Oryzias latipes: one gene and its partners. The protein of the gene in region 2 binds, or shares a complex with, the protein of the main gene of each other region. Links are inferred from orthologs where the notes say so. Each region holds a gene or a part of one and is shown on either strand. Other genes may lie near its edges.

What was found.
Region 1: smarcd3 (region 2) and phf10 share a complex: the UniProt entries of both Homo sapiens proteins name them as parts of the neural progenitors-specific chromatin remodeling complex. The link is inferred for Oryzias latipes from reciprocal best matches to the Homo sapiens genes SMARCD3 and PHF10.
Region 3: smarcd3 (region 2) and dpf1 share a complex: the UniProt entries of both Homo sapiens proteins name them as parts of the neuron-specific chromatin remodeling complex. The link is inferred for Oryzias latipes from reciprocal best matches to the Homo sapiens genes SMARCD3 and DPF1.

The regions. Positions count from the first base shown.
Region 1 is NC_019861.2:24,495,840-24,500,066, forward strand, and holds the start of phf10 (PHD finger protein 10), read right to left. Parts: upstream 2,913-4,227; 5' UTR 2,818-2,912; coding exon 2,743-2,817; intron 1,386-2,742; coding exon 1,276-1,385; intron 1,168-1,275; coding exon 1,037-1,167; intron 918-1,036; coding exon 834-917; intron 739-833; coding exon 614-738; intron 523-613; coding exon 373-522; intron 272-372; coding exon 162-271; intron 67-161; coding exon 1-66. Other genes in the region: rab4a (ras-related protein Rab-4A), read left to right, coding at 3,322-3,337, 3,949-4,029. UniProt on the Homo sapiens protein: Involved in transcription activity regulation by chromatin remodeling. Belongs to the neural progenitors-specific chromatin remodeling complex (npBAF complex) and is required for the proliferation of neural progenitors.
Region 2 is NC_019878.2:21,175,057-21,178,710, reverse strand, and holds part of smarcd3 (SWI/SNF-related matrix-associated actin-dependent regulator of chromatin subfamily D member 3), read right to left. Parts: intron 828-3,654; coding exon 726-827; intron 622-725; coding exon 460-621; intron 143-459; coding exon 35-142; intron 1-34. UniProt on the Homo sapiens protein: Involved in transcriptional activation and repression of select genes by chromatin remodeling (alteration of DNA-nucleosome topology).
Region 3 is NC_019871.2:18,165,945-18,169,033, reverse strand, and holds the end of dpf1 (zinc finger protein neuro-d4), read right to left. Parts: intron 2,911-3,089; coding exon 2,798-2,910; intron 2,153-2,797; coding exon 2,071-2,152; intron 1,359-2,070; coding exon 1,288-1,358; 3' UTR 550-1,287; downstream 1-549. UniProt on the Homo sapiens protein: May have an important role in developing neurons by participating in regulation of cell survival, possibly as a neurospecific transcription factor. Belongs to the neuron-specific chromatin remodeling complex (nBAF complex).

The DNA of each region.
Region 1 (4,227 bases), on a different chromosome or scaffold from region 2:
GGATCCAGAGGAGGCTCAAACAGAGCAGTGTTTAATGGCAAGTAGCGCAGCTCATTGGGTGAGTACCTGGCACAAACAACACAATCGTGTATCTAAAATCTATTTACCGTTAACTGAGAGACTACTGTCACTTACGAAGAGCTAACAGTTATGGAACGTACCTTTTATAGTAATCTTGGAATTGACCTGGGATAAGAGCAACAGGGTAGGGTCCTGTTCTGGTTAGTTCTGGAGCAAGAACTTTGAACCTTCCCTGGGGCACCTGAATAACCTGAGACAAAAAGCAGAGGACAAAAAGGAGTTGCATCAGTCAAAAGCTCAACCAACGTTGCACTGATGCAGATTTATTAAACCATCTGCCATTAGACTTACGTGAGTCTGGAGGTCAAAGTAAGCTCTCCTCTCTTCCATTCGCTCCCTGTTGAAGATGCTGTTAAACTCAGCAGCTTTTTTTGCAGCTTTCTTTATGTACTCAGGAACCTTGCTTGCCTCCACTTTCTGAGGGTTCTGCTGCTGCATTTGCTGCAAAAGCACAAGAGAGTACAACTATTTGTTCGTGCGTTTCGACAATTTCTAATAAAAACTAAAGGTTGTTCTAGTCTGGTGTTCTTACAGAGTACTCCTTAGCTATTCTCTGACGCTCCTTTTCCTGCAATATCACAGAGTACTCAGAGTGTTTGGTTGGATACTCCTTTATCATCAAGTCGATCACTTCATCGCTCCGCAAAGCTGTCAATCCTGCATATAAATACAACAGCACTACATTATGTAAGAAATATAAATAAATGTATGAAGTCTGTGCATTAACAAAGAGTTTTAGGGTTGGCTCGTACCCAGGGTGCACTGCGTCTCAGTGATAACATTTTGCTCACGTAGGTAGAGCTTTTCTTTGTGAGACAGGTCTCTCCTCTCCATATCTGCACAAGAATGTTAAAAAAAATTCCCTGGTCAAAACATAATTTGGGCAGTTGCTAAATCAACCGCACTTAAACATTTCCTTTCCTGATCATTTTGTGAATTATTGTTCAATTCTTACCAGGATATTTGCGTTTGAATGACGTGACACCCAAATACTCGCTGATTTGTTCTTGCAGCATGTAATATTCTCCTGTATCATCAGGAGGCCATTTATACTCTATTAGGTTTTCTGCTGGGAAATAAGTCACCCTAGATGAGGAGGTGGGGGCAGGAACAACACATTAGATTTATAAGTTGGTATCTGACGCAATTACTTAAGAATAATGGCAAATTGTAATGCAAAAACAAGTAGCCTACCCAAGCTCTTGGCTGAAGGTGTCACAGCTCCGAGAGCTGTCCCCTGAACCCATTCTCCTCCTTTTCGGTGGCTGGCTCCCATCATTAGATACCTCATCAATTACATCTTCCTACAGAAGTGGAAAAAAGATTCACCAACATTTTTTTTCAAACAGATGAACACCAAAATATATAGAATCGAAAAGCTTATTGTACGGAGCCCCTAAAGGGCCATTGATGAAAAAAAAAAAATGGAGGAAAAAATTTTTTTTTTGAAGTAAAAAAAAATTCTCTTGGAGTAAAAAAAATTCTTTTGGAGTAAAAAAAATTTTTTTTGAAGTAAATAGGAAAAAAAAAACTAACTGGTGCCCACCTGAAACTAACTGGTGCGCACCAGTTAGTTAGTTTCAGGTGCACACCAGTTAGTATCAGGTGCGCACCAGTTAGTTTCAGGTGCGCACCAGTTAGTATCAGGTGCGCACCAGTTAGTATCAGGTGCGCACCAGTTAGTATCAGGTGCGCACCAGTTAGTATCAGGTGCGCACCAGTTAGTATCAGGTGCGCACCAGTTAGTATCAGGTGCGCACCAGTTAGTTTCAGGTGCGCACCAGTTAGTATCAGGTGCGCACCAGTTAGTATCAGGTGCGCACCAGTTAGTTTCAGGTGCGCACCAGTTAGTTTCAGGTGCGCACCAGTTAGTATCAGGTGCCCACCAGTTAGTTTCAGGTGCGCACCAGTTAGTATCAGGTGCCCACCAGTTAGTTTCAGCTGCGCACCAATTAGTTTCAGGTGACATTATGACATTGTCAGTAATATTTCGTGTTTTCAGAAAGTTTATAAGGTCCATATCCTCAACTTTAGCCATTCTCAAGACAACTGTAGCTACTTGGTGCACAATGAGCAAGCAGGTCAACTATCTGATATCTTCTGATACTAACTGGTGCGCACCTGAAACTAACTGGTGCGCACCTGATACTAACTGGTGCGCACCTGAAACTAACTGGTGCGCACCAGTTAGTTTTTTTTCCTATTTACTTCAAAAAAAAAATTTTTAGCTCAAAGAATTTTTTTTTACTTCAAAAAAAAAAAATTTCCTCAAGTTTTTTTTTTTTTCATCAATGGCCCTTTAGGGGCTCCGTATTATTGTGAAAATGGGAACATGTGCAAAACTAGTTTGACTAGGATTACACAGGGAAAAAATTAGCAACACTTTATATTTAAATGGCTACACAATCTAGTTTTTTTTTATTTATATATTTTTTCAACGTTGCAAACTAATAGAGAAATACACGAATAATAGGAGCAAATTACTTCAAGAGGAAGTAATTTGAGCACATTTGAAAACAAATGATTTTGCTAAAAGTGGCTGACAGTTGTCCTAGTGAATGGAAACGTCCGTTGGCTAGCTAGCTATCTGTTAGCAAAACATCGTCATGTTTCCCCGTAAACAACAGCTAATGGATATTTATCAAAGTAGAAAAAAATCACCTTCATGGAGTGCGCCCCAGGAGTAGCGGGACTGCTATCACTTGGTGGTCTAATAATAGGGAATAATGTAGCCATTTTAAGATAAATAATGCCCACAGCTAGGCTAATGATTAGCGGGGGAAACTACGTTTCTTCTTCTTTGGACAACCACGGACTCGGTTGACGTTTGTGTAAATTCAGAGCGCCACCTCCTAGATCCTCCAAAAAATATGTTAAAAAGAGAGAATTTGTACACAACATGCAAACCAATTAATTTACATATAGATAAAACTCTCAGCGAAATGGGCTGTTTTTAAAATTTACTTAGAACGGCGAGAATTTATTTTTCATTAATTGAAACCATAAGAACATATCCAAACATCACCCCCACGCGGTAGTTTGAGGACTATGTGGCATAAGTGTCATTTCAGAATGCTTTTATTTTGAAGAAAAAAAACCCACACACACCGTACAGGAAGTTGGAGGAGGAAATCATAGAATCCAAGGAAATCACCAACAGGACTATTTCCATCACTTAGCAAGCTAAACAAATAACAGTTTCGCCTTTCTCTGCCTTGCAGCTTAGCTGACACACCGAGGATGTCGGAGTCTTACGGTAAGGAGGCTGTCTTGCTTTATACCCGTTAGAATCTCACACACAGATGGCAGGAAAGGGATGATGAGGTCCCTTCGTAAACAAATAGCTAGCTGGCAGGCTAACCGAGCCACTGAGGAGTAGGAAGGTTTTGGCCTTTAAACTCAAATGTCAGCGTTAATAAATCTGCCTTCCGGGTACAGGTGTATTAGTAAAGCTTTATAATGCAAGAAGCTGTGACTATAGGAGATGCTATTGTTCCCGGGATAAGCACTAGGACACAAAGCAAGAGACTCCCGCTTTTCTTTTGCAAACGCAAGTGATGATAGGATATCTCTGTGTTTTGTGAGGCATTGCTCAAATTACACTATGCTACAACTGTTCAATCAATTGAACCAACATTAAACATGATAATTATCTTAGTGGGAGTAAAGAATAAATATATATATATAAGGCTTTGTTCGATCTGTTTACGACACATTTGTCTTGATTTGTATAGTGTAGACATCAGATGTGTACATGTCAACAACTGTATCAAAAAAAAATTAAGAATAGTTGAGTTTATTAATAACAAGGCAGCATATTCAAACCCTGTTTGCTTTATCTATGTTACTACTGTGTTCCCTCTGCAGACTTTCTGTTTAAATTCCTAGTGATTGGAAATGCTGGAACAGGCAAATCCTGCCTTCTGCACCAGTTCATAGAAAAGAGATGTAAGTTTGCTTCAGTTGTAATCACTAGAAAAAGCTTTATAATAATGACACAGTAATTGCCCGACTCTTTTATTTAAATATCTTTAAGGTCCCACTCAAAGACAGTCGTTATTTGTGTGTTTTTAACATATTTTTGTGACATTTTGTTCTCATTATAATGGACATTTATGTAAAAATTAAGCCTAAAATTGCATCTCT
Region 2 (3,654 bases):
AAATTTGTTGTTGATAAAAACGAATTAGCCGTCCCTGATCTAATCTTTGTGCGAGGAGCTTGTGTCCTTCAAGAGTTTGAATCACAGGCTGATAACCGGCTGGGTGGTCTCTTCTCTGTAGAGGATGCAGCATCCCAGATTTCTGAGAAGTTAAAAAAAAAAGGACTCTTAGCCCTGTTTTCATCCATCCAGACCGAGTTCTTCCTCCTGGTGGTCTCCATCCGCTTTAGTGCGTTTCTGTGCTCATTAATAATCATGAATGTTTTTTTACTGCAGGAAAACCACCAAACAGCCATTTCTGCAGATCCTCTAAATCATTTATCCATAACGGATGATAGCAGAGCCAAAAAACGTTCAGCTTTTTGCATATTTGTCTTGAGGAATATCAGTTAAATTCATGAAAAACAATTAAAAAAGGGTCAAACTGGTGGGATCTTGTTGCATTATGACGTCACGCACCTGCTGGAAGTACTTGTCACAGTTGATGTACTCCTTATCGTGGGAGTCCTGCAGCTTGTTGGTCTTCACGTACTGCCAGAGCGCCTGGATGATGCAGGAGCGGGTCTGCGTGTGAATGCCCAGCAGGCGAGCCAGGCGAGGGTCCAGCTTAAACTGGGGGGGCTGTGGAGGCCAGGTCATCACGTTACTCGGCTTTTCACGCACGTTCAAGCCTTCGGCGCGGCGCCCTCAGACATGCAGGCGGCGTGGAGTCTGCGGCCCCTCACCTGGTAGTCCAGCATCAGCAGCAGCGTGCAGCGCACGCTCACGTCGCCCGGCCGCTTCACCTGGAAGCCGTCCGTCTCCTGGGTGGTGGGCGTGCGGTGCCACTGAAACGGCAGGTAGGCGACCAGCAGGTGAGCTGGAGTGGAGCGTTTGGCGGTTTTTGTCATGAAGGTTGCCAGCAGACATTTGCATTAAAGTGATTACAACTAATGGATTCATTACGAACAGGATAAACTCTGTTACGTTTCTTCAAAGTTCCACTTGAATCCTTTTTGGATCTATTCTCAAACCACCCCCAAAGGTCTTTTGATTACCATTATTAGCAAAATCAACAAACGTGTGGTTTTCAAGGTCATAGTTTCTGCAGAGCGGCAGGAGGAGTTCATTAGAAGTTCATCTCTGAGTTGTGGAGTAAAATACCATTTTCACTAAAAAAAATGAAGACTTAAATGTTGGAGATTAGAAAGAAGTTAGAAAATATAGGCAGATCACCTCTTATTAACTATTTAGATCAATGTTTTTCAACCAAAGTTCACTTTTTCCTAAGGTATCCCACCAACCAAAAGCGTACATAAATGTATTAATATACAGTCATTCCTATTAAAGAATCTCAAATATAGTAAATAAACAAAAAGGAAAAAGTCGGAATAAAATAGAGCTGATATCCCGGCCATGATAAATCTTTTTTCCACCAATTAGGAGAAATTCATTCATTTTTAACGGATTTAAATGATCCAACAGCTCTCGCAATGCGGAAGAAGAAAAATTACAAACTGAGACGAATCGAGCAGAAAATCCTAACAGAATGTCAGATGTTAAACATAAATATTTTAGATTTATCATAATGTAAAAGGACTGACTTGGAAGTTTAGGAGAGTAAACGATGATCAGATCAGAAAGCAATTTAAAATGAAATATTTTTATACATTTTTAAGAGCAGAATAACAAAAACAACAACAAAAAAACCATGACGTTGGAAAATTTAAGCACCAAAAAGAGCAATATTGCTTTACATTTAGGGTGTTTTTCACAGAAATACACACAAAATGTAGATTAACAGACGTGGTTAAGCCTGAGCCAGAAACGGGAGGATTAAGAGGAAGAAAGAACTTCTGTAGGACAAATTCAAGCAACATCAGACGAGTTCCTTTTGGCTGAATATTTATTTAACCAGGAAGTCCCTGTTTTTCAAACGAGAGCTGGCTGGGAGGCTTTGGCGCACACCCACAAACTATAAAATGAAACTAATTGAAAATCCAATTAAGAATATCATGTGCCAAGCGTTTACCATCAATCCAAATTAAAATTCTTTAATTATTTGACAAGAATAAAAGAATTATTGCAACATTTATCCTCAATAAAGGATTTTTTACTTATTTTAATTGAATTTGAAGATTAAATTTCAAAGATATCCTAATATTTCCATCAGAGAAACTTGGAATTATCCCATTTTGGGTAAGGTTAAAAGTTTATAACAAAGACAAAAACCTTGATTTATGTAGGGAATATATTTAAATATATATTATTTAAATATTAGATATTTTTTGTATGTATGCATGCGGGATCGTCGGCCAAATCTTTGTTTATCTGACAAAGAGGGGAGAAAATGATGAAAAAGAACATTTTAATAAAGCTCTGAAGATGAGTCTATTCAGAGGAGGGGAGGGGGGGACCCGGCTCTTCAGCCTATAGGGGGGGGCCTGCTGATTATTTGTATCTCAAGGTGGAAACAACATTCTTTGGACTGAGTCATTGAGAGAGCAGCACCCGAGCGGCCGGCTGAAAAGAGGAACCTTGAGAAGCCGTCACGTTCGCTCTGAAACTCCTCCAGTGGATTTTTTTTAAACAAAAAGCAGATTTCTGCGGTGATGCGGAGTGAAGGGCAGCCGCTGGTTGTTTCTAAAAGACTCACGCTTAAACAGCCTTGTATGCAGCCGTTCGCTCCGGTGTTAATGGAAAAAAAGGTCTGCCTTCATCAGGGGGAGGGGTCGGTCCGGCCTCCACGGCGGTAACTGGGGAGGTTTGGACGAAACTTGATAAAAATAATGTTTCCAGAAAGGAAAAGGTCGTGGAACGTGACGGCGCTGCGGGGAAGTCCAGCTCGCTCGAAGACGCCGCACAGAAAAGCTTTTGATTCTTATCATTTTATTTATTTTGCCACAAATTTGATTTAAAGATCAAATCTGTTCCAACATCTGATCTGTCTGAAAGTTTAAGAATAATTTATAAAACTCTTTCAGGTATTTGTTTTTAAGTGTTGTTTATTTATTTTAATCCACTGTGATTGATAATAAAAATGTTTTTTCCCCCCCTGGAGAACCAAAGAACAATGTTCGTATGACTCTTTAGAGCTTTATTTTTTGGTTCGCTCATTTTGAGTAGCAGCAATTAAAAGCGGCCAATAAATAAAAGAATAAAATCAAAACATGTAAAAATGTAAAAGTTTAAAATGTCTTTAAATAAGACAAAAGCTGAAAGCTTAGAAAGGGTGCATCACCACTGTTTGATGTCTTTCAGGCAGGAAGACCAAATCCGTTCAAATTTTCAAAATAAAAGACTGTCGACCTGTTCAGGGCGTACCCCGCCTCTGTCCAACTGTAGCAAGGACAGGCTCCAGCAACCCTGTGACCTTAAATGGGGAACATGCAGCAAAAAAATTAAAATATTACCGTAGATTACAAATAGGTTTGCAAAAAGACGATGTAAGTTTACGTTTCCTGGTAAATTTTATTGCCCTGAAAGCAAAACAAAGAAAAGCACATTGAGTTTTAATGCTTAGAGGCAAGAGGATTAAGCAACGCCTGACTAAATCTGAATAAACCCGCTTATGGGATTGAAATAAAATAAAAAAACGTATTCTAGGTGAGACGTCCTGTTTGCTGTTGAAACCACAGACCAGTCAGTTCACCAAGTCACCACTAGGTGGCTTGT
Region 3 (3,089 bases), on a different chromosome or scaffold from region 2:
TGCCTCCTTCATATGTGTATCAGACAAGTTACCAAAGGTAAGTTACAGGTGAGACTACCAGACTTCCTTCTTACATCTCAGTGCTACCTGTGGACTCCAACATTAAGATTTCTGCCCTCCTCCCCCTGCCAGACTGCATGAACAGGTAAATCGGTGACATTTTACATGGAGCTGCCTCGCCGTAACGCAAAAATAAGAGCACACAAACAGACACACGCAGCTTGAAGGACACAACAGTTGGTTTCAGAGTTCTCATCTCCAACACGTTATTGCGGATTAAGTGTGCTTTCTTTTCCTTTTCAGTTCAAAGTCTTTAAAAACAATTGAAACAACAACATGCACAAGAACATAATTTAAAAAATGAGTTATAAAAAATATGAACTTCAGCCTCAACTTGAGCCAGACAAAGACCTGCGTTGTCCCCAAATCCATCCTACATTCTGATCCCACAAGACACACACTGAGCACCAGGTCCGTTTCAGGCTGGCTTTGACCTCCCACTCTTTGTTTCACTAGAGGTAATCTCAGCAGGAGGAAATTTGAAACAGCTTTTCTGAAATACTGTCTTCATTCAAAACAGCTGATTTGAAAAAAACATTCACAGCCTTCTGAATCGATCAAGCCCCAAACGTGGCATCAGTCTGTATCAGCATGGAGAAGAGTATCTGAGGTCCAGAGCAGTTCTTGACCCGATGCTTTCAGAAACATCTTCATGAATGAGTGATCTGGAAAGAGTTTGAGTCCTATACAGTCTGTTTCCTCAACCTCAGCAGAGTTCAGCACCACACTCCTCCACAGACGCAGAAGGCCAGCAGAGGGGCTGCAGCTCCAAACGTGGAAGCTGACACATCGTACTCCATCCTTTAAACAGGCTCTTCACGGCAGCGTCCTTAACGCTTAATCATCGTATTAAATCTCACTCACAGCTGAACTGAGCTGCAGCTGGAGATCATCAGGGTTCATCCAGGTTCTTCAGAGGGTTCCCGCAGCAGTCCGTCTCAGAAGGACCCTAAGTTACCTGGCGAGTCTTTCAAGCAAACTTCTCTGCTGACACAGAGCACTGAAGAGAAGGGGGGTCAAGAGAAGCACAACGGGGAATTTTCCAGACTAAAGGTTGGCCGGGTGCTGGAGGGACGTTCATGAGTGGGTGCAGCGCTGCGAGGGCTCAGTGGTGCCAAAGGGAACCAGCAGGTTGGGGATCAAAGGAGGAGAGGCAGGGGGCTGAAGCTCAGAGGAGGAGGATGGAGGGGCGGTTTGGGGAGAGGCAGAAAAGATGAGCTCCACAGATTAGGTGAGGGTGATGTAGGCCGAGGCCTTCTCCTTCAGTTGTCTCAGACACAGATGACAGCTCCAGCTCCCTGGAAGACATACATCAGGAGGTCAGAGTGGGTTATTGTAAAGCCTGCCGATTTAATCCCATGTTTCACACAGAGCGTTAAGCAACACTGTAAATGAAAGCTGCGTGTTGAAGCGCCACATGCTGCTCCTGCAGTTTATGGATTCAGAGGATTTGACGAGGAGTTTGCTGTGGAATTTGGCGTGAGCGCTGTGACATTAATTAAACATCAAGTGTGGCTGATGCTGACGTGCACCTCTCAGCCTTAACGCTTCAGAGTGAATGTTAATCTGGCCTGAAGATGTTGTGCAAGCATTAAGCACAGACGCTGTGCCATTCACATTGTGACAGAACACAGCATTTCTCTCAGAAACAGCTTAGAACAAATAAAATTTGTGGGCGGGGCTTGACACTGCTAGTGCGTGTTAAACGCAAGTGGCTCTGATCTGGTTTCTTCAGCCAAGTGACATTTTCACCATGGAAACAGGTTATTTTTCTACAACTCATCTCCATGACAACAGAAGAAAACATCCTAAGGCAGCCATCTTATGTGGGCAAGTAGCATTTTTTTCTCCATTCTGGAGTCACAGCCTCGGCATTGAGATTCTTTGTTAAGACGTTTCAGAAAAAAGACGCAAAGTCCTGCAAAAATCCAGAGTTTCCATCCTCTGAGAACACATGTATTTACAGAGCTCTGTGAAAGAGTAGAGAACGACATAAACATTGATGCATACCCTCTGGCGGTTCAGACATAGGAGGACTCAGACAGTACATGTGGTACCCTCTGTCACAATCATCACAGAACAGCAGCTGGTCCTGCAACAGATCAGAGGAGCAGGTGTTATTAAAAGGCAACAGATTTGAAATGAAAGCTGAGGATGCAACAGTGGATGTAACGTGGGAAGTGGTTTGTTTGTGTATATAGGAAGAACCAGAGTGTTATTTTAAACTGTACATCCACTTGATTATATAAAACCCTTGTAACCAAGTGAACTTTTATTTTGTAGACAGCAGGGAGCAGCAGTCTCAGCACTGTTATGCAGTTTCACGATGTCTGAAAGGAATCACTGGAAATGTCTGCATGATGTTGTAATGATAGAACAATGCCGTGGCCTGAGGACCAAATCAGCTCAGAGGATAAATGTCCCAACCTGCAAATTTACAGAGAAATTCAGTTTTTTTTTACCAAAGCAGGGTGGTGCTATGATTACAGGCACTGTGGATGTGTGTGTACATATGTGTGTTTGTGTGTGTTCTCTTTTTGTATGTGTGTACGTTCATGTATGTGGTTGTGTGTGCATGTGTGTCTGTGTGTTTTTTTGTGAATGCGTGTGGGTGTGTGTGCATGCATTCATGTGTGTGTGTATTCATATGTGTCTTTGTGTTCCTATGTGCATATGTGTGTTTATGTGCATGTGTTTGTGACCATGTGTCTAAGGTGAACATGCAGTGAGGTCATACGTCATTCTCAGAGGTGCCGCAGAGGCTGCAGGATTTGCACTCGATGCATTGCCAGCGATAGGTCCTCACAGCAGCCGTCATGTTCACTGTAAACTGCAGGCAGGAAGGGTGGCCTGGTTACACACACACACACATTCACACACACACACACACAAACAGAGAGAGACACACACATACACCCACACGTGAGACTAGATTTATCAATGTATTTGATGACAACTTTTTGCTTCTTTTTTTACTATCCACAAAGCAGTATATTTAACTGAAGGATTTAAGAAATGTGAATTATCTA